3 linked regions of the Rhinolophus ferrumequinum genome follow. The protein of the gene in region 3 purifies or fractionates together with the protein of the main gene of each other region. This does not show direct contact. Links are inferred from orthologs where the notes say so. Each region holds a gene or a part of one and is shown on either strand. Other genes may lie near its edges. The genes, in order: ARHGEF11, ARHGEF1 and GNA13.

Region 1 (10,097 bases), on a different chromosome or scaffold from region 3:
CCATAAAAATAATTCAGTATCATTACCTCTGCTGGCAATATCGAACATCGTATTTTTAGAAACTTTGAGGAGAACAGACATTAATGGGCAACTAGGGGTCTGTCCACGGACAAAACCTGAAAGGAACACAAACAGCGATTCTTAGCCCATTTTTCATAACTGATTAACACTGAAAGATAAAGATGAGTCGCAAATACCTTGTGTTTCTTTGGACCCGGGAATCACTGCGGGTAAGATAAATATTCCAAAGCCTTCTTCACTCTGAGCCACTCTCTCCAGACACTGTTTCGTTCCAACATGCTGCCAACCTTCTGGAAAGTCCACTTCACCTAGAGCCTCTCAATTGACCTTCCTTTAGCTACACTTGAAATTAGCACACGAACATTGAAAATTCCCAAACGGGAGGATTTCTACTTGCTCACATGCTCATTCATTCCAAGCCTCTTTTGTCCACTGTGTACAGAAGGCCAAGGCGCTGGGCCCGGACAGAGCTGAGCAGGGCTGAGCAGACCGTCCTGCCAGCCTGCAGTTGACAGGCAGTGCTGCTGGCACGTGGGCCACAGGACCCCTGGACCTGCCCTAGTTCCCCAATTAGACTGACACTTGCTGTGAGCAAGAACTACATACTTTAACTTTCTAAAACTCTCACAGCACCTTACACCAGCCTTTCTCCACAGCAAATGGATAAATGAAAGGAGAATCCTGACTCCACAAGCTGGGCGTTTCCTTCCTCTCAGCCCCTCCAGTGTGGCCTAGACTGTGAATTACTTCAAATCCATAGGAGCTTGAACCTGAGATGTCAGAAGGTCCACCAGAAGGAGCCCACAGCTGACGGGGAAGATCGGGGTACAGAACCTTGAAGCGGGCCGTGCCTTGCCTAGAACTGATCCTCTAATGGCGAAGGGACGGGGTACGGAGAAAGGCGAGGAACGCTCTCACGCTGCAAAGCTGCATTATCCCACAGGAGAACTGCAGGTGCACACCCCAAGACTGTGAAAAAGCGCCAGGGACTGCTGAAGATCATCTTACCTACTACCAGAACGAGAATGGAGCAGTGCCTCCACCCGCCACGGGACCAGCATACACACCTGTTTAGACAGGTGGGCCACAAAGCGCCACGGGTTCAGATTCAGAAGACCTGCAAGTCTGACACCAGACAAGCCAGGTGTCCTCTCTGAGCCTCAATACCCGTTCTGTAAAATGGGAAGAATAGCCTCTGCTTTGTCTGCCTCATGGAAATACTGCGAGGCTCGAATGTGATATGTTCCTATGAAAGCACTTAGAGAAACGTACCATGCTATACAAATCCTGAGAACAGTGGGGCTATCCAAACTCCCAGAGGAACATGTCCCATCAGCGAAGGAACCCTCACTGCCCCGTTTGCACCCCCAAACACCCAGGTTTCTATCTTCTCACATCCCTGAATTCAGAGAAATAGTCCACCATCCAAATCTCCAAAAGGCAAGTGCACTAATTCCCCAACTCCAAGAGGAAGACAGGGAGGGCAGCCATGTAGCCGTCTTCAGCCCGGGCCGTGCCATGCCTCAGCTCTCCCTTTACAAGAGTCCAACTACAGAGAAGCCAACAAGAAGTGGAAGGATGGAGGTTTGAACCAGCCACGCGCACTTTCTGTTCTCTGTGGCTGTTTGCCTTCCCCTCTCCACTGCTAAGTCAGGTTCCTGTGTGGGGACTGCTGGACCCATCTAAGTAGGGCTCGGAGGCCATACAGAGGTCACTGTTTGGGAGAGAGAAATTATATGCACCTTAGGCCACATTCCAGAGCCAAAAAGAAATTATTCTTAGCATGGATTAGCAAAGGTTAGGTGGACACAAAGAAAGCAACTATTTCTTTGCAAACAGTCTTTCTTATCTCGCCAATACTATATTTCCAGGTCCAGTCCTTTCATTTGCTTGTTCAGTCCTGTCCAGTCAGAATGTGCGTGCAGTACCCACCAATGACCCCCTCCCGATTCTTACGGAGAAAGTGGGCGGACAAGGAGGGGAGGGAGGGAAAAGCAGATACCTTACCAAAGCTGTGAACCATTGTGTTACCAGTGACAAGGCTGGAGAGACTCTGGGGGGGTGGGGGGCTCTAAGGGCCAGTGCATCTGCCCATCAGGCCGAAGAGCCCCAAACAACTCCTTCCGGCTCAAGGCAGAGGGAAAGTCCATTTTGCAGAGTCAAGCTTATTAGAAACGCCTTGGAAGATTAAACCTACAGCATTAGCCGGTTGGCAGGTCTCAAGTTAAAATTTAACCTTGGAGAGGAAACAATTCTAAAGTGACCTGTGCATTTTGGGGCTATTATTAGCCACCGGTAAAAATCCAGCCCTGTAGGGGTGCAAAGGGTGTTTCTGTGCCATCATTCAGGCCACGACCATCGTCCTCATTTCAGACACTGGATCCACTCCACCACCAAACCCCACCATTCCACAACAACCAGCCCGGTGGAGGCCCACGCCCCTGCCAGGGCCCTTCCCCCAGCAGCTCCAACACCTACAGCCAATCCCAACCCACCCTTGCAGACTCAGACTTGTGCCCACCTCCCACCCGCTAGGCTGGCAAGTTAGGGACTCAAATTTAGCCTCCAGCCTGGCAAAAGTCAAAGCCGGCTGCAGGCACTTCCCCCCTCCTCGCTTCACTGTCTATTGCTTCAATTGAAGAAAAAAACCACTGACTCAGAAGACGTTTTGAACATGGACACACACAGGGAAGATAAACACACATGCCGGACAGTCCCCGCAGACCAGTGCCTGCTCCTACCTCCCCAACTCCCACTGCCCACCCAGACCCTCCTTTTGCAACCTTTGATCAAAATGCAACAAACACTCTCCCTCCCAGTGCGTCCTTAAGTAAGTATTGAAAAACCCATTATTAGCAAACCTACCTGTCTATACTCTGCGGTAACCTTACACTCATGGTTTCTCGGTGTCTCCACGGTTCCAGAGTCCTGTAGTTTTGACGTCTTGATCAGGATTGAATCCTCGCAATTTTTAAGAAAGGTGAGAGGAGGGCTTCCCAACTCGAAGACTGAATCCTCTGTCCTCCAGCTCTCAGGATCCTGGTAACTGAAGCTCCATTCTACTTCTACCAGTTAACATGGTCTCCTTTCTTAGACCCCCTTTCCCCTCCCCCCTCTTAAAAAGAAAAAGAAAAACGAAAGAAAAAGAGGAAAAACGATGACCTTAGAAACCAAAACCCAACCACAAATCTCTTCAAGGTTAGCGCTATGGGCTGAAAAAAATGAATCACAGAAAGAATATGCCTTCAAAATATCAGTCTTACTGCAAAATACAGATAAAAACCATCCTTTTAATCCAGTTTTCCCAGCTGTCCTTCTGTTGGCAAGAGAGCCTTAAGCTCCAAAGGGGGAAATTCTCTGGTCTCCAATGCTTAAAACGACAACAGATATATATGAGGGAACAACAACAAAAAAAGGATGAATAAATCCGAATTGGCACCTGAAAAAAAAAATCTTCCAGCTGATTTGCACGGTAAAAAAAAATAAATTAAACCATACAATAGTATGTACACAACAGCATTCCTTCCAAGTCCAGTGCGACCCTGGGAACCAAAATTATGAATTTCCTTTAAAAAACAAAAAAGCTTTTACATGAAAGGTTTTGAGATTCTGAAATGAGCCGATCGCACCCAAAAAAAAAAAAAATCAAAAAAAAAATCAGAGAACACCTGAAATGAAAGCTTTCTACCTTTAAAATGGTAGCAATCACCACAAAGCAGAGACCCTCTGGAAACCTCGTCCCCTTCCCTTTCCTGGAAGCGCGCCGGTTTCTGCGCCTTCCCGCCCGGGGCTCAGGCCCAGCCCGGGTTCGGCCTGCTTCGGGAGGCCGTTTCCTGAGTGGGTTCTGCTCCGCTCGTCCTCATCCAGGCTCCGGGGCCGGCCTCGCCTCCGCCCCCATGAAACGGGTTCCCGGCTCGCGTGCCGCACCGTCGCCCGGTCGCCCGGCCTGGCGGCCGCTCCTTATCCACAAGCCGGCTGAGTCCTGCGGGTTCGGTTCGGCTGGGATTCTCCTCCACACCCGCCTCCGGGCAAGTCCGACCGCCGGGCTCCCCGCCGCAGTCCGCCCTGCCTACCCGCGCGGGGCGCCGCCGACCTCGGCTCCAGCCCCGCTCGCCTCGGCGCGACCGCCGCGCTCCGGCCTGGGCGGCCGCGGGGCTCCGGGCTCGGGCGCAGGCCGGGAAGGCGGGCGTGCGGCTCCTTCCGGGCCCCTCACCCCTCGCTCGCCGCTCGCTCGGGCGCAGGCCCGGCCGGCCGCCCCTCCGCGCCCTCCGCCGTCCCGCGAGCCGTCTCCGTCCCTCGCTCGCGGGGGCGGGGCCGCAGGCTCCTCCTCCTCGCGCCGCAGCGGCGGGGACGACGGGGCGGCGGGGACGGCCTTTCTCTCAGGCGGGGCGGCCGGGCGGTGGGGACGGCTTCTCCCTCAGGCCGCGGGGACGGAGCGGCGGGGCGGCCCTTCCCTCAGGCCGGGCGGCGGGGCGGCCTCTCCTCAGGCCGCGGGGACGGAGCGGCGGGCGGCGTCTCCCTCAGGCCGGCGGCGGGCGGACCGCCCTCCCGGCCTCGCAACCCCGCGTCGGCGCGGCCTAGCCGGCCCGGTGCTGAGCGGGATCCACGGCTTTTCCCGGCGCGGCCCGCCGGCCCCGCCCCCGCCCCCGCCCGCTGTTCCCCTTTAACCGCCCTGCGCTCGCTCGAGACCTGACCTGTGTGCACCCCCCACCGGACGGGTGCCACCCCCTCCCCCGGGGCCAGGTGTCCCCCGTGCGTGCACCAGCGCCACCGCGCCGACCCACGCCGCTGCTCACGCTGCCTCCACCTCTTTGCTCATCGATTTTTCAGAAATCTGTCGCGGCCTCCTTCCCGGGTGTCAGGAACCCTGTTGACCGCCCGCCCCCCATCTCTGGGCCCCCCAGTTCTAACCCACCGACACCGCGGAGACACCCGTCGCTGTTGGTTCCGGCATCTTAACCCCCGGGCTGTGAGTGTTGGGACTCCATGGCAAAGGCCTTTCAAGGACAGTTCTGCTTTCATAACCCCCTCTCGTAGGCTCGCGGTGTCCAAATCTTTCCAAGTAACATGACATTAGTCAGAAGGTCCCCAGCGTTCTGGTTAAAAATAATATAGAAAGGAAACTGCCGCTAGGACTGGGAGGTGCTTCTGGAAAATGCCCTGCGGGCAGTGGCGCGGCTGCCGGTCCTCGGTCCACACCACCTTGTTGTCCTTGGATGGGTGAAGTGTGAGATCGTGTGTATTTACCCACACGCACACGCCAGCAGGAGGGAGCCGAGTGGCCCCTGCAGTGTTGGAAGTGGGTTTGCAGACAGCAGGAGGCAAGGGGACTAAGGAGCATCACGTGGGGCGGGGCGGGGGTGGGGGCGGACGGGACTTAGAATGATCAGGAACGTCCCCTAAACTATCCCAGGTGCTGGTTAGCCCTGAGAAGAAAGCCCCGCTGCCTTCCTTGCATCTCCACCGCACCGTGGCCGGGACTCCCAAAGACACAGGAAGTCCCAACTGCCCCCGACCTTGTTAATTCCCTTCCCATACCACCTGCACAATCGTGCTCCCAAATGTGACACTTCCTGTGGCCATAGGCCCACTACTAGTCGCCTTTTTTGTCATGCTTTCTTAACCTATGTAATGTTTTTTTAAACAGTTATTTACATGTATTTTATTACATACCTTATAAAACATGCCCAAGAGTAGAAATATTAAAAGATGGAAAGAAAGATGAAGTACGTGTGAAAAATCATACTGTTTAGTGGAAGTTAATGGCTGTCATAACGAAAAGATACTTGTCAGAGGTAGATCTAAAGGAAGAAGTGTGTCCTTGATTGCATTTATTAAATTATGGTACTTTCCAATCCCATTCATCACCGTGTTAAGGCTTTTAATTGAAGTTCAACTATTAGATTGGTGCAAAAGTAATTGCGGTGTTTGCAATTATTTTTAACCTTTTAAACTGCAATTACTTTTGCACCAAACTAATAGTAAACAAAATGCAAGTATTGACTTAGATCGTCTCCACAACCTTTTGAGTAAGTAATCATCATCCCCATTTTCAGATGGGAAACAGGCCCAGAGAGGTAAAATAAGTTGCTTAGGGTCACAGAGCTGGGAACCCACGCAGTCTGGGTCCAGAGTCTACTTAACTGTCAACCGTACTGCGTCTGTGTTACAGGCCCTATGCCAAGCATTAGGGGGAAGATAGCAGACAGGCAGGGCTTACTGAGGAGAAACGGGAGGGTGGGGCTGGAAGTAGAAGTCGGTGGTTTACTCCTCAGCCCTCCAGAGAGTTCTTTCTCCCACCTTGCAGTGACCTGCAAGTCTTACCTAGTGCTCTCGGTTCTTCGTCTTCTTTCTCAGTATCCCTGGAAATATCACCCCCAGAAATTTGCCCCCTCATCACTCTTGAGGATCTCAAGGCATTTAGTGGAAGAGGGGCTTCTCACCTTCACTCCCACTGAGGGGTGGTTTGCTTCATCTCCATCACCTCCCAGGTATGCACTCCAGCCTCCCAAGCTGATACCTTCCTGTCTTTGGTTACCCTAGAAACCAACTTTCTCCCATCAACACCCCTGTAGCTGAGACAAACTGAATAACAGGGAAGGTGCCAAGATAAATTGTAAAGGAAAATGTGTGAAAGAAAACCAGTTTTAGATTGAAGGCTAATATTTTGGGAAGTTGGATGTGTGTGTTATTTTTTTCCCCCTTGAATAAGTAAAAGTTCCCAGGATCAAATGTGAGATACAAAAAAGGTGAGATGCCAAAGGGAAGATTAAAAACAAAAAAACAGACAAAAAAAAACTTGCCCAAAGCCTGCTTTAAAAATTGAAAGAAAAGTGAAAAATGTCCTTTAAAATAAGAAAATTGACATACAATAAATTACACATACTTAAAATATACAACTTGATAAATTTTGACCTTATACACACATGAAACAATCACCACAATCAAGATAATGAATATATTTATTACCTCAAAACTTACTTTTGCTCCGTTCTAATTCTTTCCTCCCACTGGATTCCCTCCCCCCGTTGTAGTCCTTGGGTGATAGCTGATCTGCTTCTTGTTACTATAGTTTGCATTTTTTAGAATTTTATATAAATGAAATAATAGATTGTGTATTCTTTTTTGTATGACTTTTACTCAGATTCATCTATGTTGTCAGGTATAGAGTATATCAACTCATTGCTGAAGGGTATTTTTAAAATTTCAATTTCTAATTGCTTACTGCTAAGACAGAAATACGGTTATTTTCGTATGTTGATCCTGTATCCTGCAATTTTGCTAAACCCACTTATTTTGTAGATTTCATCAGACTTTTTATATAGATGATCATGTCTGAGAATAAAGACAATTTTACTCCTTCCTTTCCCATATGTATTTCTTTTTCTTGTCTTAGTGTGCTAGCTAGAACCTGCAGGGTAATGTTTATAGAACAGGTAAGAGCAAACATCCCTGTCTTGTTTCCGATCTTAGGAGGAAAGCATTTGTTTTTCCACCATTAAATATTATATTATTCATAGTTTTCTCATAGATGGTCTTCTATCATATTGTGGGTGGTTGTTTTTTATTGTTAGATGTTTGTATTTTTCCAAATTCTTTTTCTGGATTGATTGAGATGATCACATGGTTTTTCTTCTTTAGTCTGTTGATACTGTGGATTTTCAATTAACCAGTCTTGAATTTCTGGGATAAACACCACCTGGCTGTGATATATTAATCTTTTTTTGTTTTGTTTTTTTAAAGGTTTTATTGGGGAAGGGGAACAGGACTTTATTGGGGGAACAGTGTGTACTTCCAGGCCTGTTTTTCCAAGTCAAGTTGTTGTCCTTTCAATCTTAGTTGTGGAGGGCGCAGCTCAGCTCCAGGTCCAGTTGCCGTTTTCTAGTTGCAGGGGGCGCAGCCCGCCATCCCTTGCGGGCGTTGAACCGGCAACCTTGTGGTTGAGAGGACGCACTCCAACCAACTGAGCCATCCGGGAGCTCAGCGGCAGCTCAGCTCAAGGTGCCTTGTTCAATCTTAGTTGCAGGGGGCGGAGCCCACCATCCCTTGCGCAACTCGAGGAATTGAACTGGCAACCTTGTGGTTGAGAGCCCACTGGCCCATGTGGGAATCGAACCGGCAGCCTTCGGAGTTAGGAGCATGGAGCTCCAACCGCCTGAGCCACCGGGCCGGCCCATTAATCTTTTAATATATTGATTTGATTTGCTAAAATTTTGTTAAGAATTGTTACATCTATGTTCATTAGTCTGTCACTTTCTTTTCTTGTAATGTCCTTGTCTGGTTTTGAGTAATGCTGACTTCATAGAATGAGTTGGGAAGAATTCCCTTCTCTTCAATTTTCTGGAAAAGTTTGTGTGGAATTGGCATTATTTCTTCTTTAAGTATTTTATCGAATACCTTCCTCCTCCCCCCCAATGAAGCCATTTGGAGGAATTTTCTTTGTGGGAAAGTTTTAACTACAAATTAAAAAATCTTTTTCATAGGTATAAGGCTACCTGGATTATTTTTTTTCTTGAGTGAGTTTTGACGGATCCAGTCTTGTAAATAATTTGTCCATTGTATCTAAGTTGTTGAGTATATGGGCATAAAGTTATTTATAATATTCCCTTATTTTTAATATGTATAAAGCCTAGAGTGATGTCTACTCTCTCGTTACTGGCATTTGTCATTTTTTCCCTAACCAGTCTGACTATCGATGTATAAATTTTTTTTTTTTACACATAATTCATATGTTGAAGTGTAATCCCAATGTGATGGGTTTTGGAGGTGGGGTGTGAGATGTAACCAGGTCATAAGAGTGGAGCCCTCATAAATGGGATTAGTGCCCTAATAAGGAGAGGCCAGAGTAGCCAGCTCTCTCCTTCCACCATGTGAGGATACCAGAAGGTGGCCGTGGACAACGTGAAAGGGGGCTCTCACCGGAACCTGGCCAGGCTGGCACCCCGATCTTGGACTCCCAGCCTCCAAAACACACAGAGAAATTTTTATTGTTTAAGCCACCCAGTCTATAGTAGTTTTGATAGCAACCCACAGCGACTAAGATGGTTTCACTGACTTCAGTCTTTCATTCCCTCTTTGATTTAGCCCACTCTGATCTTTGTTATTCCTTCCCTTCTGCTGCATTGGGTTCAGTTTGGTCTTCTTTTTCTAGTTCCTTATGAGGTACAGGTGGACTTTTATGACTTACTTTGATCTCTCTTACTGGCTTATGGGCTGTAACTTTTGTTGCATGTTTATTTTATCACTGGCTACCTTCAAGTGATGATGTACCACCTCACACGTACTAATCGCCCAGCTTCTGTGCTGTTGTTAACATATACACATTTTACTTCTACACGTGGTGTAAATCTTACAGTACACTGTTATTTTTGCTGTAAACAATTGATTGCCTTTTAAAGAGATTTAAATAAACTAGTTGACTATATCTGGTGATCTTCATTCCTTTGTATAAATTGAAATTTTCATCTGGTACCATTCTTTCTGCTTGAAACATTTAACATTTTTTGTTGTGAAGATCTGTTAGCGATGAATTCTTTCAACACTTTTTATGTCTGAAAACATTTTTATTTCATTTTTGAAGGACATTTTTATGGGGTAAGGGGTTCTAGGTTGACATTTTTTTCTCTTTCAGTAGTTTAAAGATGTTCTGTCTTGCATTTTTTTATGATGAGAAATCTGCTGTCATCCCTATCTCCATTCCTCTGTGTGCAATGTGGCTTTCTGCCCCCTCTGGCTGTTTTTTAATGTCTTCTCTTTATCATTTGCCTTAAACCGTTGGAGTATGATGTGCTTGTAGTTTCCTTCCAGTTTCTTGTGGTTGGGGTTCATTGAGCTTCTTGGGTTGGTAGGTTAGTTTTCATTAAATTAAATTAAATTAAATATAGTCTTCATGCTTACCCATATCGTAACTCTTTCTGGCACTCTGCATTCCTTTGTGTAAATCCAGATTTTTATCTGGTATCATTCTTTCTGCCAGAAGCACTTCCTTAAATATTTCTTGTTGTGTAGGGGGTTCATTGAGCTTCTTGGATCTGTGGGATACAGTTTTCATTTAATTTGGAAATTTTTTGGTTTAT
Region 2 (10,762 bases), on a different chromosome or scaffold from region 3:
GGCTTCAGCCCACCGTGCTCCCCACCTCACAGCCCCCCAGTCCTTTCAACCCTTGGCTCTGTCCACTCACCGCCCCTCGGGCCACGACGTCCTCTGCCTCCATGGGCTCTGCAGGGCTGGGGGAAGAGGAGGGGCGGAGGTTAGGGGGTGGGAGGAGGTGGCACTGGGTGGTTACTCACAGATTCCTGGCCCAGGTGTGAAGGTGAGTAAACAGCCTTCCCCCATCTGGGCCTCCGCAACTCAATGGGGCCTCTGTGTGGCGACAAAGAGCCCTTCAGAGGCCAGCCAGGGCGGGGAGCCCAAGGACAGGGAGCCTTGTTGGGCGGGAAGCTGGAGGCCCAGGAGCCTGGGTCCAGGGGAGAGCTGTGGCCATGACAGCCTGCAAGTTTTGGGTCCCTAATGCAGGAGGGGCTGGGGGCTCCGACTCTGGGCTCTGAGGCAGGAGTGGCTGGGGGCCAGCAGAGTTGGCGAGGTTAAAGGGGAGGTAGGAGGGAGATAAGTGGGGTGTCTTCGGGCTCCTCTGATCTGTGACAGGCTTGGGGCAGGATGTTGCCTCTGAACCCACCAGCCCCACTTCCTGTGACAGGAAATCACAGTGGCAAACCCCTCAACCCCCAACTCTCTCCAGATAAGAAAACAACACTCTGAACTCTCTTCCCTCAGGGACCAAGAGTCCCCGGATCCACAAGTTCTTTTCCTCAGGGACCTGGTATCTTTCTGGCTTCCACTCCCAGGAAACAAGGAACGGTCCTCAGCTCATCCCCCAAGGTGTGTCTGTATCCCTCACCTACATCCATCTGCCGTGCCAGCTCCGCTTCCCCCAGCCAGCACTCTGGCTGTCTCTCCCTGATTCTGCCTGTCTTTGCCCGTCTTCTGTTTCCTCGTTTTCTCTCCCTTCCTTCAGACCTGTCTCATTTTTCCCACTGTCTCTGCCTCCCCTCCTCCCTCCTCTCCCCGTCAGCCAACTCCACCCTGTCCCTACTTCTGCTTCTCCCTGCCTTTGCCCTCTGCCTCGCTTCTGTCCCTGCCTCTGTCTTGCCCCATCTGCAGCCACTGTCCTCGCACCGATCTGAGCTGTTGGCTCACGTGCTGCCTCTCTCCCATCGTCTCCCTTAGCGTTTCCACTTCTCCCTGTGTCTTCCCACCAAAATCATCCGTGTTCTTAATTGGTATGACTAATGCCACGCGAGCCCGAGCTGTGTCAGGCGGGAAGAGCTGTGGAAATGGGTGGAATGGACCAGTGGGGGGCTCTCCCCACAGCCCAGAGCTATTTATAACCCTAGTTGCCTGAGACCCACCCTTCTCCCTCTTCCACAGGCCTCCTCCCTAGCACTCAATAAATAGTAGCTATGATTTTGATTATGATCATTAAACAATGATGCTTTCTGGAGTGTCCAAATGCTATCCCATGGGTTCATCAGAGCAGGCACCATTTTTATTCTGTTGCATAAAGGGTATTTGTCAAATATCCAAACTTGGGTAATTTAAGATTTGAGCATTGTTAAGTATTCACATAAATAAATTTGCAAACCAAGGCAGAAAAATAATAGCAATTATTTATTATGAATGCTAAACTTACATAACACTTACAGGGCGCCAGGCATTGCTCTGAGAGCTTCTCACATAGTAACTCACTTAACCCTCACAACCACAACCACCCTGTGCTATTGTTATTCCCATCAGAGATGGAAAACCTTCACCAGGCCGCCAGCTGCAACTTCTGGGCTGGAAAACATGACCATGAACACAGAGGGTCCATGATCATCACCTCACTTAGGGGTGGAGAGGTTCGACAGAAGCAAGGAGATTCCAGAAGGGCACAGGAGAGGATACATGTTATCTGAGCAAATGCTCAGTGCCAGGCAGGCCCCAAATCATGCACGTGATACATATTATCTCCTTTATTCTTTGTCTGTCACAATAATACAAAATAATAGCTAACACTTAATGTGCATTAAGTGTCATTAAGCATGTGCCAAGCACAGCATTACTGCTTTATAGGTATTAACTAATTTAATCCTCTCAGTGACCACATGAGGTCAGTATTATTATTATGCCCGTTTTACAGAGGAGGAAACTGAGGCACAGTTCATAAGGAACAGAACCGGGATTCAGACCCAGGCGGTCTGGCTTCAGAGTTTATGCATTTAACTACCAGAATGTGCTGCCTCAGAGCATGGGGAACCCCCCACTCCAACCTTAGGAAACTAAAATCAGAACCAAGACACATCAGGTCTCCTTATGGGCCTGGAAAGTCAGGGGTATGCGGGTGCTGTGGCCTGGGTAGGAGTACAGGATGGGCTCGGCTGCTCCACAGAGTCTGGGACTCAGGGAGGATGGGGGGAGGGTCATGCTGCTCAGGAGATGGCGGGGGAGAGGAGCTGCCACAAAGGCTGGGAAATGATAGGCTGAAGCTGTCAGATGGCTTTACAGGCACCTGACAAGGCCTGAAGTCCAGCAGAGGGGTACTGTGTGCATGGGGCTGATAGGGGTCAGTTCAGAGGTAGGGATCCTACAGCAAAGCAGACACGTGTGGAAGGCAGTAAGGGCACTTGGGTTCTATGCAGGGCTCAGGGTCTATAAGATATTGAGTTGCTGATCCTAGTCCCTAAGAACCTCTGGGAGCCTTAAAGAACCTAAAATACAGAATAGTTAGGGTGAGTCCATAAGGGGTCCTTGGAATGTATACAGCCTCAGGTTCTATTTGACACATGGTGGGCCTACAAGGATCAGGGGTCACACGTGATCATGAAACCATAGGGAAAGTGGCCAGTCTATGGGACCTCTGGAGACTTAAAAGGGGACGAGAATTTCATAGGGGAGTGTGGTGGTCTCCAAACCCAGGATCTACAGGGCTCTGGATTCTAGGGGATACTACCGCTCGTTGGGGACTCCATGTCTGTAAGGAGCAGGGTCTCCACAGGGGGCCAGCAGAAACCTGGGGTGTCTGTAGGATCTTGTACTCTACATGGAATGTGGCGGGTCTACACGACCCCCAAACCTACATGGGACGTGGCGGGTCTACACGGGCCCCAAATCCTATAGGGGACGTGGCAATGAGTACAGCCAGGGATGCTGGGGCAGACGTGTGGAGTCAGGGTTTGACACCCGCCAGGGGCCGCTTCCCTCACCTGCTCCGGGTCGAAGAAGCCACCGCAGCTGCCAGAACCGAAGCCTCGGCGCACCGGCTCGGAGCTCCCCCACCCCCGCCTCCGAGTCGCTCTAGCCGCCTCAGAGGCCGCCTTTGATTCCAGCTCCACTCCTCCCGCCAGCCGCTCTAGCCTGCCTCCTGCCAGACGACTCTACTCCTCTTGCCAGTCGCTCTAGCGCTCCACTGCGCCACGCTGGCCAGATAGGGCCGCTCTGGCCTGCCTTGGAGGTCTGGCGTTTACATATCTCGACTGCTCCCGTTGCTCCCCTGGACCCCGCCCCTGCCCCGCCCCTACCTCCGCGGCCTGAGGTGAGGATGGTTCCACCCCCCACGCCAAAACTGAGCCTGAGATCTCCGAGTTACCACGGCCCTTACTTAGTTCTTGGACTGGGTTCCCCGCCCTATTTTGCCTCTCTTAACTGGGGGACCAAAGTTGATTTTCCAACGCTCGTTCATTAGTTCTCTGCGCATCCACCCCACCCCACCACCGCACACTTTCCTCTGGGGCTGGAAAGCAAAAATCCTGAGTTCAAGCGTACTTTTCCCTCTGACATGCTATGTAACCTGGAGTAAGCAATTACTTCTTTCCAACGCTCAGTCTTCCCATCTATACAATGGAGGAAAGTCGCCAGCTCTACGCCCTACAATCCAGCTCTCGATATAATTAATGACCCAGAAAAAGCTTCCCAGAAACGCTTTCAAATGCGCTCCGCAACTTTCAGCTTCACAGCGGCCTATGACGTTAACTGTCGTTTTTCTTTTTAGGTGGTCCTAAAGCATGCGGGGTTGGAGGATGATGCTTAGCGGAAAGCACCTGCGAGTTCAAATCCCAACTCCACTCGGTCTCACGACGTGTGCCCTGGGACGAGTTGGATCTGCTATCTGGGCCTCAGTTTCCCCACCCGTACAGTGGGAGTGATCATCTGTTCTCTGGATAGTTGGAAGCCTTGACCCGGCCTCGCATGCCTCACCCCACCTGCTGGACACTCGGCGGGTATTAGTTCTGTTCTCTTTGCCCCCTTTGACAGATGGGAAAACTGAGGCCCAGGGAGGGGCGGTCTCTGACTCAGGGGTGCCCCAGGAGGCCCCTCCACTGCCAGCAACGCCCCAGCCCCCTCTCTCCTCCTCCCACTTCCCCGAGCAGCCAAGGGGAGGAGGCCGGGCGGGGCCACGGACGGTGTACCTGGTGTCCGCGCAGGGAGGTGACCGGCGGGGCGCCCGAGGTCGGGCTCGGCGATCCCGGGCCCTGTGTCCCGGCTCCCGCTTCCTGGCTCTGGCGGGGCAGGAAGTTGGGGCGTTTTTCCGGAGGCCCCCGCCCCGCCGCCCCTCCCCGCTTCCTGCCTGCGCCCCGCGCCCGCCCGGCACCTCCGCTTCCTTCCCCTTCTCGCAGCCCGTCCGGCCCCGCCTTTCCCCGCTCCGCCGGGGATCCGAGGGCATCGGCCCCGCCCCGACCCCGCCCGACCCTCCCGGCAGGGTATGTCCGTCTGTCTGCAGGGCGTGGTGTCTGTCCGCCATCACCTCCCGGCGGGGCTGGGGGCGAGTCTCGCCCTGCGCCCTCCTGGGTCTGCGTAGCAACTTGCCCGCTTTCCGTCTCTGTGTGTCTCTCGGTCTTCCTCTCTCTATTTCTGTCCATGGCCCTCTTCTTTGATTCTCTCTCCCCTTTTCTCCGCTGGGGTCTTTTCCACGGGTTCCCCGTTGTCCCTCCCCGTCTCTGTCGCTTTCTCCCTCGGAGCCCTTCTCTTTCCATCTCTGCGTCTCTGCATCGCCATCTCAGTCATTTCCCCACCTGTTGCTTTCCTTGGAGTCTCAAGGGTCACCCTCTCCGTGTCTGTGTTTCTTGTGAACCCTTCTTTCCTTTCTCTCTCTTCCTTCTGTCTCTCTCTCTCTCAGTATCTCTGTCATTATCTCTCTGTCTCAGTCTTTCTTCCCTCTCTATCTCAGAAACTCTACATCTCTGTGCCTGTCTGTTATTGACCCTGAGTCTCCCCACCTTTCCCAAGTTAGGGCCACAGACTGGCCAGTCCCCTGCCACAAATCCACTCCCAGAGGACAGGTGTGACCGTAGTAGAATTTGGTTCCAGCCCCACCAGGTCGTCCCCTATGATTCTGGGACTTAGATAGGGATAAATAATTATGGTCACCTCAATTCCCCCCTTTGTCCCTTCCTGCTCAGGGCAGACATGGCCTTGGGTGCAGCCCTCCCCAAGACACTTCCTGTTTCTCTCAGGGGGCAGCAAAGGTGTGGGGAGTGGACAGTGGCCAGAGGCCCTGAATCCTGGGTCTGAGGGAGGATGGGCTGGCGGCCTGGACTCCTGGGTCCCAGGGGAGGAGGGTGGGCGGTCCCCATGAGATCCATGACTCCTGCCAAGGTCTGCTGTTGGGAAGGATTTATTATCTCTAAGTGGCCATGACAGAGCTGGGAGGGGGAGGTGACACTAACAAGGCTGCTATAATCAGCTCCCCTAGAGGCAGCGATTAAGGGCTCATTACCTGCTGGCTGGGTGGGTGGGAGCCTGGGAAAGACAGCAGAGGGAGCACTGAAGGTTTGTGAAAGACAGCAGAGGGAGCACTGAAGGTTTGTGCGGAGGAATGGGGACAATCTAGAGGGAGCAAAAGCAGTGAACACTTCTAATAGGGAAGTTGATGCAGGACACTCCTGAGAAAGATTGTGAAAAGAACTGGTTCAAAGGAGGGGGAGAGACGCCAGAGCTGGGAGTACGGCAGGCAGGGGCAGCCCTGCTGGTCACCATCATGGCTTCTCCAGCTGTACATCTCCGATGTGGAGGCTGCCCACGTCCTGGTATGTGCCCTGGAGGCCCCGGGAGATGTCCTCATACATAGAGCAATCATCGAGGTTCAGGCCCTGGGGTGCAAACGTGTTGGTGGGCCTCAGTGCCCTGATGCTTAGGTCCCTGCCCCCAGCCAACCCCATGAGGACTCATCATGAGACCCCCCCCCAATGCACCTGCCCCTAACCTGTCCCTGCCCTCCACTCACCTCATAAAGATTTTCATCTTCATAGTCATCCCGGGCGTCCACCCCGAACTTCACATTCTGCCAACGTTTCTGTGGGGGATTTGGAGCCTCAGTGAGGGGGCGTGGGGGAAGAATATGTTTGTAGGACCCCCTGGATGCCAGGAGGTGCTTTACCAGAGCTGGTAAGGGACACTGTCAAAGCCACATATTGGGTAAGTGACAGGTCTCTCTGGGTCCAAATCAGTGTCCTTTTGGTTCTCTCCCCTGCCTCATTGTTCTCCACGAATAACAACAAAACTAGTAAATGGCTGTAGTTGTCCTGTGGCCTAGAGAGAGGCTTGTGCGTATCAGAGACTCTGGGAGGACCCCTGGGCTCCATCTTCCCTGACCTTGGCTACATCTGGAGGCCACATCACTCCTGGGTAGGGGGAAAGTATAGCACCCTTGGGGGTGAGAGTGAGACAGCTTCGGGGGGCAGTGTGAGAACATCCCTAGAGAAGGGCAGGGAGGACAGCCCTGAGGGGAGACTGAACAAGGAGCTGCCCACAGTACCATTTAAAACCCTATTATTGTATTAATTCGTTTACCCCCCAAGTCCCCTGTGAGGTGGGTGCGTAGTCCTCCCAAGTTTTAGGTGGGTGCCCTCAGATGCCAGGGTCCCGTCCCAGGGGGCTCACCCTGAACAGCAGCAGCGTCCCGGGCACCACCGCACAGAACAGCAGGATGATCCCCTCGGCTGTGATGATGTTGTTCTTGGTGCCCTCCCCCAATTCCAGGAAGGGTTTGGGGATTGACTCTGTGAGGAGGGAGTGCTGCTCAGAGCCCTGGCACCCCGGCCCCGCCCCCAGCAAGGCCCTACTGAAGCCCCCATTCTGCAGGTGAGAAATGGGTCCGTGTGTGTGAGCAGGGAGTGAGGACACCCAGCAGGCAGGCACGGGCTCTGTCCTCACTTCACAGATGGGAAGCCTGCAGTCCCGAGCTGCAAAGTGGTGGGACCCTGGAGTCAGGACTGCCACTCACCGAGCACTCGGAGGTAGGTGCCACAGGAGTGCCGGACCTCTTTGCCAACTCTCACTCGGCACCTGTACATGCCCACATGGCTCTTGTTCACCAATGAGATTTTCAGTTCATTGCTGGGGCCCTGGCCTTCGCCAAAGAACCGAGCTGACCACTTGTTGTTTTCGGAGTTGCGCCACCATGTGACATTTGTTTCACCAAGGATGCTGCTATTGTACCGGCACGAGAAGCTAACGTTGGCTCCTATGCTCACCGTCATTGAGGGTGGGCTCCACTCCACCGACAGGGTGTGAGTCTTCTGGCCTGTGGGGAGGTGGGTGGGTCAGGGACTCTGGATGGGGACATAGGTCCCAGTCCTGGCCCCTGCAACTGCAGCAACCCTGGGTGTGTGTGTGGAGGGAGTATGAGGACACTCCTGGGGAGGAGGGAGGGGGACAGAGGACACAGGATATTGGGAGGGGGAATGAGGGGGTACCTAGGGGAGGACAGAGAGACGCCTTTCGGGGGAGACACAAGACACAAGACAGCAGACATCTGAAAGAGCCAGAATCCAGGGTGCCTGCTGCGTGTAGGCAGACAGGGTAGTGACTCTGAGCTCGGTCTTTGTCCCTTGGGGGAGGAGGGCATCCTAGGGGAGGAGAGTAAGATACCTGGGGTGTGACACACCTGGGGATCCCCACTCCCCTCTCTAGCCACCTCTTGCCACCCTCCCCCACACCCACTTTGTGCTTTGGTCCCACTGAGCTCACTGGCATTTGGACACTAGGTTCCCTGGTGCCAGAGTGCCCCTGCCCAGGCAGCTTCTTGCAGAATCAGTTTGGACATCACCTCCTCCTGAAGGCCTTCCTGGTCTACTCTCTCAGCCCCAGTCCAGCCCTGCACCTGGCACTTTATCTTGTGTAATCTTCACAAAACTCTTAGAAATAGTTTCTCTCATTATCCCATTTTTCAGGTGGGGCAACAGAGGCTCAGGATAGCAGGAGTGGCTGGGGGTTCAAACCTCAGGCCCCCGGGCTTCCTCCTGCCAGTCTTCAGGTCTGCCTTGTCTGTGTCTCTGAGGCTGCCCCTCATTCTCTGTAGCTTGTGTCAGCCTGGGGGTCCAGTGAGTTCAGTCCTTGAACTGGGCTGAGGGTTTAGGGAAGGGCCTTAGCAGGATGGGTGATGAGAGGGAGGCAAGAGGGCCCAGCCTGACTGCTCGGAAAAGCCCCAGTTTTCAGTGTCCCCGGCCAATCCACAAGGCTGTTCTGCCTCTTCTGGAGAGGGAAAGGGGAGGTGAGGAAGAGAGAAGGAGGAAGGGGTGGGGAAGGAGGCAGCAAGCTCAGGGTCATAGGCTCCCATCTGGGCTCCCAGTGTAACCTTGGGTGATCAGCTGCCTTTCTGAACTCCTCGGTCAAATATGTAGTCACAGCCCTGCCAGCAGCTGGTACCGCTGGGGGAAGATAGCCAGGGGGTTGCCATGAGGCTGCGTGTCCCCACCCTTCCCTTTCCCGCACTGAGAAGGGTGTCCCTATGTAGGGGGGTGACTGGGATTCAAGGCAGAGAAAGAGAAAGCTTTTTTTTCCCTCTGAAGCTGAGCACTCCCCCAAATTTCATCCTGCCCCCACCTCTGGAGCTTAGTCAAGTGCAACCTTAGTTCCTTATTTTGATCTGTGGGGAGGAGGGGGTGAGGAAGGCACCTGTAGCCCCTGTCTCCATCCATGAGGCAGTGGATGCCCCTTCAATGTCACCAAGCCCCTTCCAGCTTCCCGTAGATCTGCTTGGAACAGTCAACCAGACAGACGCAGTTTCTACAGGGGCATTTCCCAACTCCCCTCCGGCTGGCTCCTCTCCACTCCCCTCCTGGCCTCCCTTCCCTCTGCCTGTGCCCTCTCTCCATCCTCCTCAGTCACTGCCCCCCTCCACCCAGCAACAGCCTGTTAGCCACATACCCAGGCCAGTACCCAGGCCAGCGGCTGAGATCAAGAGGAGGAGGACGGTGGCAAGTGAAGCTTGGAGGGCTCCGGGACCCCTAGGCATCTTCTCCCCGTGGGTTGGTTCGTCTGGGCTGCAGCAGTCCTGGGGTACCAGATCCCCCCTCAGTGGGCCCCAAACTCCACCCCACTTCCTGCCCAGCCCTGCCGGAGATTGGCTCCACTGGTCCCACTGCTGGGCCCTTCAGTGTCAGGCCAGGGGACAGCCCCTGCCAGTGTGCTTCAGGATGTAAGTGGAGAGGAACTGCTCCCTGCACCTGTGGCGACCACAATTCCCCTGAGGGGAGGTTGCTTGGGTGAGGGGAAGAGGCCAGTTCAAGGCCTGCCTCATCACTGGCAAGCCCTAGAGCAGACATCTGAAAGAGCCAGAATCCAGGGTGTCTGCTGCGTGTAGGCACACAGGGTAGTGACTCTGAGCTCGGTCTTTGTCCCTTACTGGCCTTGAGCAAAACTTGTCCTCACTCTGTGGGCCTGGAAACGAGGATTTAAAGGGGTTGTGATGCACAGCCCTGAACACAGCACCTGGCACATAGTAGGTGCTCAGTAAATGTTGGTTACTACTGTGCTTCCCTGAAAATAAGACCTAGCCAGACAATCAGCTCTAACGCGTCTTTTGGAGCAAAAATTAATAAAAGACCTGATATTATATTATATTATATTATATTTATTATATAAGACCAGGTCTTATAGTAGAATAAGACCGGGTCTTATATTAATTTTTGCTCCAAAAGACACATTAGAGCTGATTGTCTGGCTAGGTCTTATTTTTGGGGACACAGTATTAATGCTCATGAGAAATAAATGAAGCAGGCGACTGGCTCTATGACTAAGTGGTGGCTTCCCTTTTCAAGTCGTAGCATTTAATCCAAGAGATGAGGATAAGAATATATCCCTGGCGTTTGTGACATGAGATGACGTTCCTGGCACCCAAGGAGTTACAGCCATGATGGGCTCCTTCTTGATATATCTTTCAGCTTCCCCACAAGTGGGCAGGTAACCCCCATCCTCATTTTACAGAGGAGGAAACTGAGGGCCAGAGAGGGGACACTGTCACTGTCATTTGCCCAATTTTATACCGTCTGGTGGTGGAGTAGGGATTCAAAGTCACTATGTGTGCCCAGGTTCCTTTTAGCATTATTTTAGGTCAAGTGGGAGGAAAACGAGGTCCTGAGGGCTTGGATGGGGAACAGTATAAGATTGTTGAAATGTTTGTGAGCAGTTGGGAGCATCATAGACAGTCAGACACACACACACACGAAGACACACAGGAAAAAAAATGCATTGCAGGGAGATTTTTGGTAGCAAAAACGGGGAAATGAAAGCCTATTTATAGGAGAATGGATGCATATACATATTATGGTACAGTCAGCAAATGGAACAGTACACAGCAGGAGAAAAGGTGGAGCTTCACGTGTCCGCAAGGCTACATCTGAGGAAAAAACACAAAAATGAGAAAAAAGATATTGTAGCATGATACAGTTGACTTGTTTTCAAAAGGCAAAACAACACATTTGCTGTGAGGGACACGTGCGTCTGTAGTGAAGGTGTAGAACTGTGCAGGGGAGTGACACCCACTTCTTGAGAGAGGTTACCTCTGGGGAAAGCTGTGACTGGGAAAGGTACCAGACGGCTTTATCTGGCTTTATCT
Region 3 (10,429 bases):
CTTGCCTGTGGTACTCTCTTTGCTCCGAAAGCAACAGCTGGCTCAAGTCGAGAACATGTAGGTCCTCATCCTGACTGGTTTTACCTATTTGCCCTTCACGGCAAATAAATACCTAGGACTGCTTTCTCAACAATGACCAGACAGTCTTGATATGAGACTGTAAGATGTGAATGTCCAAATTCAAGAAGTGGGAGTGAAGCCCACCTTCACCTAAATGGACTTAGGGAACTTTGCTAGAGAACTTGAGAGCACAGTCGTTTACTCATTCAAACAATATGAACTGTATGCTATTACAATGGATGTTTCTTCCCTGACCTGGGCAGATGAATAACATCTTGAGAAAGTTGTTGAGAAAATGAATGGTTTGTTAAAAGAAGAAAGGAGAAAACGCAGCACTTAAAAACAGGAGAGAGGGTGAAGGGAGACAAGAAGGGGTATATGGAGAACTCAGGCAACATTGCCAAAAACAATTTAACAAATACTGACCACAGGACAAAAATTAACCACAAGTCTGAGAAGTGGATAGAGGTCACCTGTCAAATTAATGTAATAATTTTCAACATACAATGCTGCCAGCTACTCAATTTTAACAATGTGAGACAGTGTCTACCATTCATTAAGGACAATTTTACTTGATGAGATACATACACCAAAAAAGGGAACTATATAAGACAGCACATAATCAAGTGCTTGATTGTATGATATATAGGAGAGCCATTATTCAGAGAAAGTTAAGATTCAGCTATCAGTTTTATAAAAAGCTATCATGAACACTTTTCTTGAACTTTTAAGAGCCAAAACTGCTTCTGAGTACAAATGGTAATAGGAAAGACGGCGGCTGGGTGTACATCATTTTGCAGCCACACCCCTAAATGTGGATTGCTTTAATGCTGATGACATCATCAAACAACTTTCTAAGCAGTTTTACTTATAACTGTCACTTTATTTTGATCATATTACAGTAAAACACTTCAGATCTGAACTACCTCCAAACTGCATACAGTCTAGATTGCTATCATTCCTGGGATCTTTCCGGTCTTTGGCAAATAAAACCCAGAATACAATCAAAGCATTCACAATTAAATTACAAAACACTTGATTTAAAAAAACCTATTTCAGTTATTATTTTTGTATCTTTCACTTGGATCGGATCCTTTCTCTTCCACCCTCTCTTCAATGCTCTGTAACAGCTACAACATTTATGGGTAGTCTTAAGACAAAGTAGAAAAGATAAATATAAAATAAATTCTAGGTGCTTCCCATGTGAAACAAAGGTCCAAGAAATAACTAGGATTTTTCTGTTTAAGAAGGAGCATTTTGTTAAATGTGCCTAGGAGGCTTCAATAAAAACTCATGCAAAAGCAGAAAGCAAATACAGAAAAAGCACAATGATTGTTAAACATTAAGGACTTTAATCTCTTCTATATTAATCTGTACCATAAAATGAGTACCTCTGAAGACTAAACAGCACATTTGAATCTAGTTCAGTTATTGAACTCTTAGTCCAAGAGTAAAAGGTCGGTTTCTTTTTTTTAAAGGGATGAATATTATTGCTATAATTGGGAGGAAATTATTTTCAAAAGGAGAACAAAATTAGAAGTGCCTATGAAAATCATTCTGATCTTACTTTCAAAAAGAAAAATGACCAATTAAATATAATAGCTTTATCGAATCTATGAGGTTTACCATATTTTTACCTTGCTTAGTAAAAAGGTCATCCACAGAGCAGTCCCAATTTCTGAGGCTAAAATTCTACACAGATACATTGTGGAAGTCAGTGAAAAGGGGGTGTTAGACTCAGACATTAATAAATGTCATTAAAATAAAATCATAACATTGTAAAAGAGCAAATCTCTTACCAGTTGAAATTCTCGACGCCGGTCATAGGCGTTCTGTATGCCGCTGTCTGCCCACAATGCTCTTATAGCAGGAAGATATTGTAAAAAAACTCCAGTTTCCACCATTCCCTGGGCCGCCAGGGAGGACCGGGTGTCAAATGACATCATCTTGTCTCCATGGACTTGGTTTGAGTTATCTCCCCAAGGAATATGAAGCTTCTCTCGAGCATCTACCAACACCCTCATACCTTTGTTAAGGGGGGGAAAAAAAAAAGTGTGATAGGAGTCATTAGATATTCTCATAGATTCTATTCCAGTAATATTTTCTTAACTGTCTTAAGTACTCCAGGCCCACCTCCTCCAAAAATGGAGAACATCAAAAGACACGCATAACTTCTCTGAGCTTAAAAAAACTGTTATTCACAGTTACAAAAATTAGAGCCTTGGAAAGCATATACTATCAAACAAGTGCTCTTTCTGAAAATTTTAACATGTTCTAATTTATAAAATAACTTTGGAGTAGAAGGTAGTCATGAGAAAACCAGACCTAGTGAAGAAAAAAGAAATTAGGCTGCATAGCCTAATGTTCAGGCTATGAAGCAAACGGCTACAACCAAGATTTTTTAAGCCCCTCAAAAAGACATTTATTTATAAAATGCCAAGAACCAAACATTATCGCTCTATGTTCTGTTTGGTCCTGGAGCACCCTGCTTAACGCAACACTGAGTCTTCTAGAAACACATTCAAAACTCAAAAAACTTGTTCCATACTAAGTTTCAAATCAGTGTTAAGTCACAAGACGGCCTTAGATTTCCCTAAAAGAGAAGAAGACCAAATGCAAAAAACATGTACATAAAAACAGAAATCTCAACTCAGAGATTGGTTCAAACCCAGTATTTCTATCACTAAACTGTTACCTTTGGTCCATCTTAACAGTCACATGATTATCAAGAAGTCATTTGTTTGGATAACTGAAACACTTGTTTTGCTGTTAATTTTCTGATCATGCCAACTCAAAAAAAGTTATGTATCTAGTGATTTACTTCATCTCATAATCAATGCTCAAAGTGGGTCACACTTAGGACCCAGGGCACAGTTAAGAACCAGGTGTTTACCTGGCTCATAATCAGTTAACATGTTGACTCAATTCACTGACATAATTCCTTAAGTTCAGCTACATCAGGATACAAAGGTACCTTCAATTAAGGACTGGCAAGGCGGAGTCTGCGGCCTTGAAAGAGACCTTAATTAGTTTTGTGCTAAACATTAAGATAGGATAAATACAACCGTTCTGTACAGCTTAACTGCAGTGGCACTAGGGCTCGGAGCTCCCTGTGGTCTGGAGCTTACAGCCTAGTGCTCTTCTCCCGTCATTACCCCACAATCCTTGCCCCCCAAACAGTTCTCCTCTACTCAGTCCTGGGAGGACAAAAGTGAGCCCAATGAGTTGCTTGAGTACTTCCTGAACAAACAAACAAAAATGACCGAAAAAAGCACTGCCTGAAAAGACCTGAAATCTGTTACAAACTCCTAGATAACTGCTACAAAGATGAAAGAATCTGGATACACCTGAAGTACCAGGCTGTGTATCTCAATTTGCCAAAATGTCTTTTATAAAGTAGAAGATATCTGATACTATGACAAGTGAGTGCTAATCACCACCAAAAGACAAAATAAAAACCATCTTGTCTAATTCTTTGAAAGCCCAGAAATAAAATTCTTATGTATTTTTCACTTAAGAACAAAGTTTAATTTTAAAAATATTGTCCAATAAAAGCCGAGTTTAGATCCAAGCTGACACTGATTCACTGACTACCTGTACAGGCTCCACATCCCTATTAGGCCAAAGATTCTTTACCTGAATGCACAATTTCATTTAAATAACAGAAGCAAGTGGGGGTACACACCCTCCCTCCCACCCCCAGGCATTAAGCAAAAATGAGAGTGGAACGTGTTGCATAGTGATTACAGGCAAACATCCTGCCTGACCGTGACCGAGGGGCGAAAAACCACTGATGTTAAGTTTTGCAGACTAAACTGCACGGGTCTCCTCTTCCCTCATTGCCAGCACAGTAAACATGACACCCTCAAGTTTCATATCCTTGCTCAAAAGGGCCTAAGGGCTGTCACCATTCGCCCTTGACAAGAATCTCCGGCAAAAGTTTCCTTATTGTGATCGTGCAACTCCTTTGCTCAGGAGGCGGCCAAGGAAGCAGGGATTTGGGAACAGACCGACTCCATGCGACTCGGGTCACCCACCCCGGGCGGCGAGGTTGGGCAGGCAGCGCGGGGGGCGGTGAGTGGGGGTGTAGGGTCTGAAGCTGGCTCTCAGGTCTTCCTGCCCCGTCTGGAGGGAAGACAGGCGAGGACACCCTGCACTCTGGTGCACTAGGTTCGCCTCACTTCCCTCTCGCAGGGGGCGAGGCCAGTGGCGCGGTGGGGGCTGGGGGACCAGACGTGCCCCCTACCCGGGAGTCAAAGTGGAAAGCGGGGCGCCCCGGGTATCCCCTCCCCTGGGGGACGAAGGCCCCAGGGGCAGGAAGGGCCAGTGCCCGGGGCGCGCCCCCATCCTGCCCGCCCGCTGGGCCCGGTCCTTCGCCGGGGACTGAGCGAAGGAGGGCGGTGCCCGGCCCCGCGCGGGTCACCGCCGGCCCCGGCCGCAGCCCCGACCCTCGGTCCCCCGGCTCCGACCCTCGCCCGGCACCTTTGATCACGTTGCTGTAGATGGTGGGGCGGAACTCCTCGCGCGCGCGCTGGTCGAAATCCTGCCCGTGGATGATCCGCATCTGCTTCAGGAAGGTGGACTTGCCGCTCTCGCCCGCGCCCAGCAGCAGGATCTTCACGAGCCGCTTCACGTAGGTCTTTTCCCGGGACAGGCATTTGTCGATCTCCTTGGACTTGCGCTGCTGCTCGGCCTCGCCGCTCGTCAGCACGCAGCCGGGGAAGCACACGGACAGCACGGACCGCGACGGCAGGAAGTCCGCCATCTTGCCGCCGCCGCCGCCGCCGCTTCGGCGGGCCCCTCCGGCTCCCTCCACCTCCTCCTCGGGCGGCGGGCGACTCCGGCACCACGGGCTCGAGGGCGGGGAGCGTTGTGGCGGCCCGAGCGCGCCGGGGGAGGGAGGGAACGAGCGAACTGACTCGCAGGGCGGGCCGGGCAGGGCGGGCCGGGCGAGCCAGGAGGGAGGGAAGGAGGGCGGGCCCGAGAGGGGCGGTGGCCCCGGCGCGTGCGCGCGCCCGCTGCCTCCCGGGGGCGCGCGCGCACGCAGCAGCCGCTCCCCCGCCTCCCGCCTTTTACGGGCGAGTTACGCTCTAGCTCGCGTACGCGCGGCCGCTGGGGTCACGTGACCTCCGGTAGGGCCGGGCGTGAGCGTGCGGCGTCCGACTTTCTGTTTTCCTTTAATTAGCTGCGCCCATTCCCGGCAGAAGGGCTACTTTCCTGCGTCCTGGAGGCCCGAGACACGATCTCAGACACTGTCCTTTGGGCTCCCTAACTGTTCCCGCCCCTCTTTCTCACAGGTTTCGTGCCCTCCGCCTGCTGTCACCGTTCGCGCACCTTATTTCCAAGCTTTTGGCTGGAAAGTTATTTAGACAGCGGGCGCGAGCCGGGAAGGTTTGGGGTATATTTTCAAAAATAAGGTGGTTTCGTTCACAGCCTGGTCTCCCAAGCGCCGAACGATAACCAAACGTCATCAATACACCCACCCAACTATTTTTGGCATTCTTATACCTCTGCAAAGACCACACACACACCGAGGCAAAAGAACGAGTTGAAGTTAATCTGAGATGTGCTAGGAGGGGTTGTTAATATCTCACTGTGGATTCCCACCCGAGCTGCCGCGATGAAATCAGTGGATGGTAGCTGCAGCAGGGTGAGATCATGGTGAAAATCCCCCTAAACCGGACACTGTGATGCAGACTCTTCCCTACAAGGAAGCAGATAAGCAAACAGACCGAGGACAAGAGCAGGCAAATTTTAGGTTTCCTGCCAGATTACAGAGGATATGACCAGCCAAGGGACTTTTTTCTGTTCTAACAGCAGATTTAGGCCAGGACACCTGAAAGGGCTGCCAGGAGACAGGTAACAAGTGACAGCTAGGAGAGAGACTGCCATAGCAAGGACCCCGGAAGCCTCCTTTTTCATTTTTAGTATTTAGTTTCAAGTGGTAAAAACCATTTTGGTCTGTCTCTCTTTTTGGCAGTGCAACCATAATACTTTTGATTTGGGCTCCTGTAGCTCAGAAACTAGAACCTATCGGGGCAGTTGAGGTAAGAGGTCAGCACTCTGAGAAACTCATGAAACAGGTTTAAATTAAAGAAATAAAACTCAGTGCTAATCAAGTGTACTGTCAGGGTTGGGTTCATGGCTGAAGAGCCTCATGACTCAGTAAATTGGCTGCAGTGAACAATGCCTGTAGCAGGAATATCTCCACTGGTCCTGGCAAATGCCTATAGGGTAGACAATCTACGGTATACACAGTGGGGTAGATTCAACTCAGTATCTGTGGATTAATAAGGTCGGAATCACTGGGTGATGCCTTCAGGCAAAATGCTTGGTAAAAGCCTACCCTGAATAGAAGATCTCTCTATTGTCTCAGTTGATGTTCAGGAGGCCCTGTTCTTCAACCATGAAAAGACTACCCACAGCCCAGGACTGGGGCCAAACATTGGCGCCCAAGCATCATTTCTACAGGGACTCCAGATTCTCATCTGAATGTTTCTGCAAAAATGGGAGGCAGGAAGCCTGTAAGTTAGTTAGATCGTTAACCTTTTTCTTTTTCCAAAAGCATGTGCAACATAATAGAGAACCAAGGATGCCTCGGAGGCAGGAAGGTATTCCTGCCCGGCCAGTTCATGTTGTGACATGTAGAGCAGCAGAGAAAGCTGTTCAAAGCCTGTACTTGTGCTGGAACAAGCTTGGCTCAGATCGAGCCTAGCTGCTCTAATCAGTTTTTCTGAAAAAGAGACCTCTTTGGACCTAGACTGGAGTTTGGCTGCAGCGGTCCCACTGCTTCCGTCTCGTACGTAATTAAGCCACCTTAAAATTGTAAGCATAAAAATGAGTTAGAGGTGTAGTGGTTCCTCAGAAGGTTAAACATAGAATTGCCGTAGGACCCAGAAATTCCACTCCTAGGTATATACCCAAAAGAAGTGAAAACAGGTGTTCAAAGAAAATATTGTACACCTATGTTCATGGCAGAACTATTCAGAATAGCCAAAAGGTGAGAATAACCCTTATATCCATCAATGGATGAATGGATAAACACACTGTAGTATACCTATACAATGGAATTATTCACCAAAAAAAAGAAATGAAATACTGATATATGCTAAAGCATGAATGAACCCTGAAAACATGCCAAGTGAAAAAAACCAGACACAAAAGGCCACATATTTTAAGGTTCCATTTATATGAAGTGTCCAAAATAGACAAATCCATAGAAACAGCAGATTAGTTGTCAGGGGCTAGGGGGAGGGAAGAATGAGGTAATGGTTGCAGAACGTCGTGAATGTACTAAATTCTCCTGAATTGTCCACTTTAAAATGATCATATGATGAATTGTGTGAATTTTATCAAATGATGAGTTATGTGAATTTTATCACAATAAAAAAATGAGGTAGGGAAAATAATATTTCCCATAAAAGTCATCAGTATCATTTAACACTGAAGTACCTGCAGTGTTCAGTATTCAATAAATGAAAGTGTGATTGTATTTGTTTTAGAATAACACTAACAACTTAAATCATTTGCACCAGAAGCTAATCTACTCTAGCAGTATCTATCGATTGATAGGGTCAGAATTATCAATTAAAATATCATTAATATTACAACGTAACCTGAATGCTTCAGGTTATATTGTAATGATATTAGTGATATTTTAATGTTCAGATAAATTTTTCATACCTGAGAAAAATCCAAACCTTTTAAGGGAATATAGAGTCTCTTTGTTAGAATTGAATCTGCTGGGTGCTATATTTCCAATAGATCCCGACATTAATTCATTGGAAACATCTGTATTGCTCGCCAATTAATCCATATGCAAATGAGGGATTCAGATGACCCTGGGAGCTGTGATAAAATGATTGAAGTGTTGATTAGTTGCAATGCTCTTTTCTTTCTGGAAGCTCAAAGTCTAGTGCCAAACAGGCCTGCAGGATAAATAATGAAGGTATGACTAAAAATGTAGAAAAACATTTCCAAATGGCTTTTCTCCTTTCATGTGGTCACCTTAAGATGGAACACGCCCTTTCAAACAATACTGCTAATTCTTGAAATTTTCTCTTCGTAACTCTTCTGTTGGAACTGAAAGAAAGATAGGCTTCCTATCTCCTAGTCACAGCTTTTTTTCAGTTTTTTTTTTTTTAATGGTATTACTTAGCTCATTTATCAACCTTTATGCCAAATAACTTTGGCCTGTTTACAAAGTCAATATTATTCACAAAGGACACAATTTTTGTCACCCTCAGACATATTCAAAGGATATACCAGAGTCTCTAGGAATAATTCCAAAAGAGGAATTAAAACATTTTTTGCCTGCCAAAGTGACTACTCACTACTCAGGATAGGACAACACCCATTTAGATATGTTTATTTAAAAATCAGTCACATTGCCTGATGGTTAAACCTTGTGTTAATTTTCTAAGGATGATGACACCTCCAGATTCTTGTTACACAACTCTGTGGTCTCATCATCAATATAGGATAGGTGGATTCTAATCCTTCCTTACAGCTAAAACAAGCATGGACGTTTCTTAGCTTCCTTTCCCTAGCAGAAGAGGAAGGGAATTCCCTAGCCCTTTCATAATACAAATCCCTTACATTTGTGTAATGTTTTAAACGCCTCAAAGCCAGCACTTAGACCTACTTTGTCTCATTCTGTGCTCATGATAGCCTGATTAAGATCAACCAGCATTAACCTCACTCCCATCTCTGCACACAAGAAAGCTGATGGGCACAGAAGTTTAAGTGACTAGTTCAAAGCCTCACTCAGCCTGGCTGGTTGCAGAGCCAAGACTAGATGCTCCCTCTTTTGACTCTGAATCCAGTGCTCTTTCTGATAAGCCAAAATTGTCGTAGTGTCCCAAATGCCCAGGTGTATGAAGTTCAAACTTAAGAAACAAATAGCTAACTGAGGTACCATAGAGTCCAGTATGATTCGGTTGGTTGGTTGGTTGGTCTGTTTTTCCAGCCCCTTTCGGAGTGACTGCCATCTCGAAGCTTACCAGCTCTTAGGCTGATTCTGGTAAGATGTTCCATACTTTGAGCTCAGCCTCTGGTTTCTAAAATGTTCCAGATGGCATGTAGAAATAATAAAAGAGGAGTCAAGCTTATGGCAATATTTACACGGTGCATAAGCCCCAGACATCCCCTGAAGGTGAGTTAAATATGACAAGGCAACTTTTTTGTAATGAAAATTGATGGTGCCTTACCAAAATAAGCCTCTCATGTGGAAAGTTTTGTGTGAAACTAGGCATGTGGAATTGCATTGTTGGTGGATTTTTTTGCTGTTGTTATTAATGGAAAACATGACTTTAATTACCGGTTACATACTTCTCTCAGCCTCCAAGAACGGTCCATGAGCTGCTGATGACCAGCTGTGACCTCACTTCGGTTTATTCCAACTAGAAGCCTGTGCTGTCCGAAAGACACACACCAGCACGCATAGGAACGCTTACACCTTGCTTACTGCATCGGCCCCGTTTATGGGCAATCTATTTATATAACATTAAGCACAAGGCTTTGCCTGTAAATCTGACATTCTTTCTGAGAAATTCAAAACATCCTGCTCAGTCCCTCTCCTTTATGTTCCCTTACAGCTATTAAAGATGAGGGATACTTTTTATGTTTTACTACCCGTAAATCGGCTGCCCCTTGCCAGAAACAGTCACAGTTCTTTAACATAAATTCTGTTTCTCCAGGGAAGTTTAAGCCTGCAAGAGTCTCAATTTATTCCTGTGTCTTAAAATACCTCTGCTCCCAACCCGGCAACAGAAGTTTTCTTTCCCTCGGAACACTGGGTTGGCAAGCTTGGACCTGCCATTTCCAGGAACCACAGTCCTGGCTAGCTAGCTAGCCAGGTGGCGTCACATGTCACAGCCTGTAGTCCTATCGTTTGTCTCACTATAAATGCCAGGGTATGTCAGATGGTCGAGTTGACCGTTAAGCAGTAAAGGCTCACCCAGGGGCCCTGAGACGTGGCCCACGTGGTCTTTGTCAGACTGTAGGGCAGGCTGGCTTCCGAAGCAAATAATGTCATCAATGTATAGCTCTAAACTCCTGTGTTAGCTGCTAAAAAAAGAAGGACCAGGTCGTGGTAGCACTCAGGGAAAGGCAGCAACTGCTGAGTCAGAATCACAGAATTTGGGCCGGCCCGGTGGCTCAGGCGGTTAGAGCTCCATGCTCCTAACTCCGAAGGCTGCCGGTTCGATTCCCACATGGGCCAGTGGGCTCTCAACCACAAGGTTGCCAGTTCAATTCCTCGAGTCCCGCAAGAGATGGTGCAGGATGGCCCTGCAACTAGCAACGGCAACTGGACCTGGAGCTGAGCTGCTCCCTCCGCAACTAAGACTGAAAGGACAACAACTTGAAG

Evidence for each region.
Region 1: the proteins of GNA13 (region 3) and ARHGEF11 purify together in Homo sapiens (affinity purification with western blotting; 3 studies listed by BioGRID). This does not show direct contact. The link is inferred for Rhinolophus ferrumequinum from reciprocal best matches to the Homo sapiens genes GNA13 and ARHGEF11.
Region 2: the proteins of GNA13 (region 3) and ARHGEF1 purify together in Homo sapiens (affinity purification with western blotting; 5 studies listed by BioGRID and IntAct, with this or other methods). This does not show direct contact. The link is inferred for Rhinolophus ferrumequinum from reciprocal best matches to the Homo sapiens genes GNA13 and ARHGEF1.

Annotation. Positions count from the first base shown.
Region 1 is NC_046305.1:1,326,042-1,336,138, forward strand, and holds the start of ARHGEF11 (rho guanine nucleotide exchange factor 11), read right to left. Parts: upstream 4,143-10,097; 5' UTR 2,919-4,142; coding exon 2,887-2,918; intron 1-2,886. UniProt on the Homo sapiens protein: May play a role in the regulation of RhoA GTPase by guanine nucleotide-binding alpha-12 (GNA12) and alpha-13 (GNA13). Acts as guanine nucleotide exchange factor (GEF) for RhoA GTPase and may act as GTPase-activating protein (GAP) for GNA12 and GNA13.
Region 2 is NC_046298.1:39,864,056-39,874,817, reverse strand, and holds the start of ARHGEF1 (rho guanine nucleotide exchange factor 1), read right to left. Parts: upstream 4,518-10,762; 5' UTR 4,335-4,517; intron 3,235-4,334; exon of another isoform or gene 3,132-3,234; intron 117-3,131; 5' UTR 104-116; coding exon 71-103; intron 1-70. Other genes in the region: CD79A (B-cell antigen receptor complex-associated protein alpha chain), read right to left, coding at 5,901-6,014, 6,149-6,217, 6,805-6,923, 7,148-7,447, 9,073-9,160. UniProt on the Homo sapiens protein: Seems to play a role in the regulation of RhoA GTPase by guanine nucleotide-binding alpha-12 (GNA12) and alpha-13 (GNA13) subunits. Acts as a GTPase-activating protein (GAP) for GNA12 and GNA13, and as guanine nucleotide exchange factor (GEF) for RhoA GTPase.
Region 3 is NC_046304.1:45,087,789-45,098,217, reverse strand, and holds the start of GNA13 (guanine nucleotide-binding protein subunit alpha-13), read right to left. Parts: upstream 5,059-10,429; 5' UTR 4,826-5,058; coding exon 4,543-4,825; intron 2,087-4,542; coding exon 1,860-2,086; intron 1-1,859. UniProt on the Homo sapiens protein: Guanine nucleotide-binding proteins (G proteins) are involved as modulators or transducers in various transmembrane signaling systems.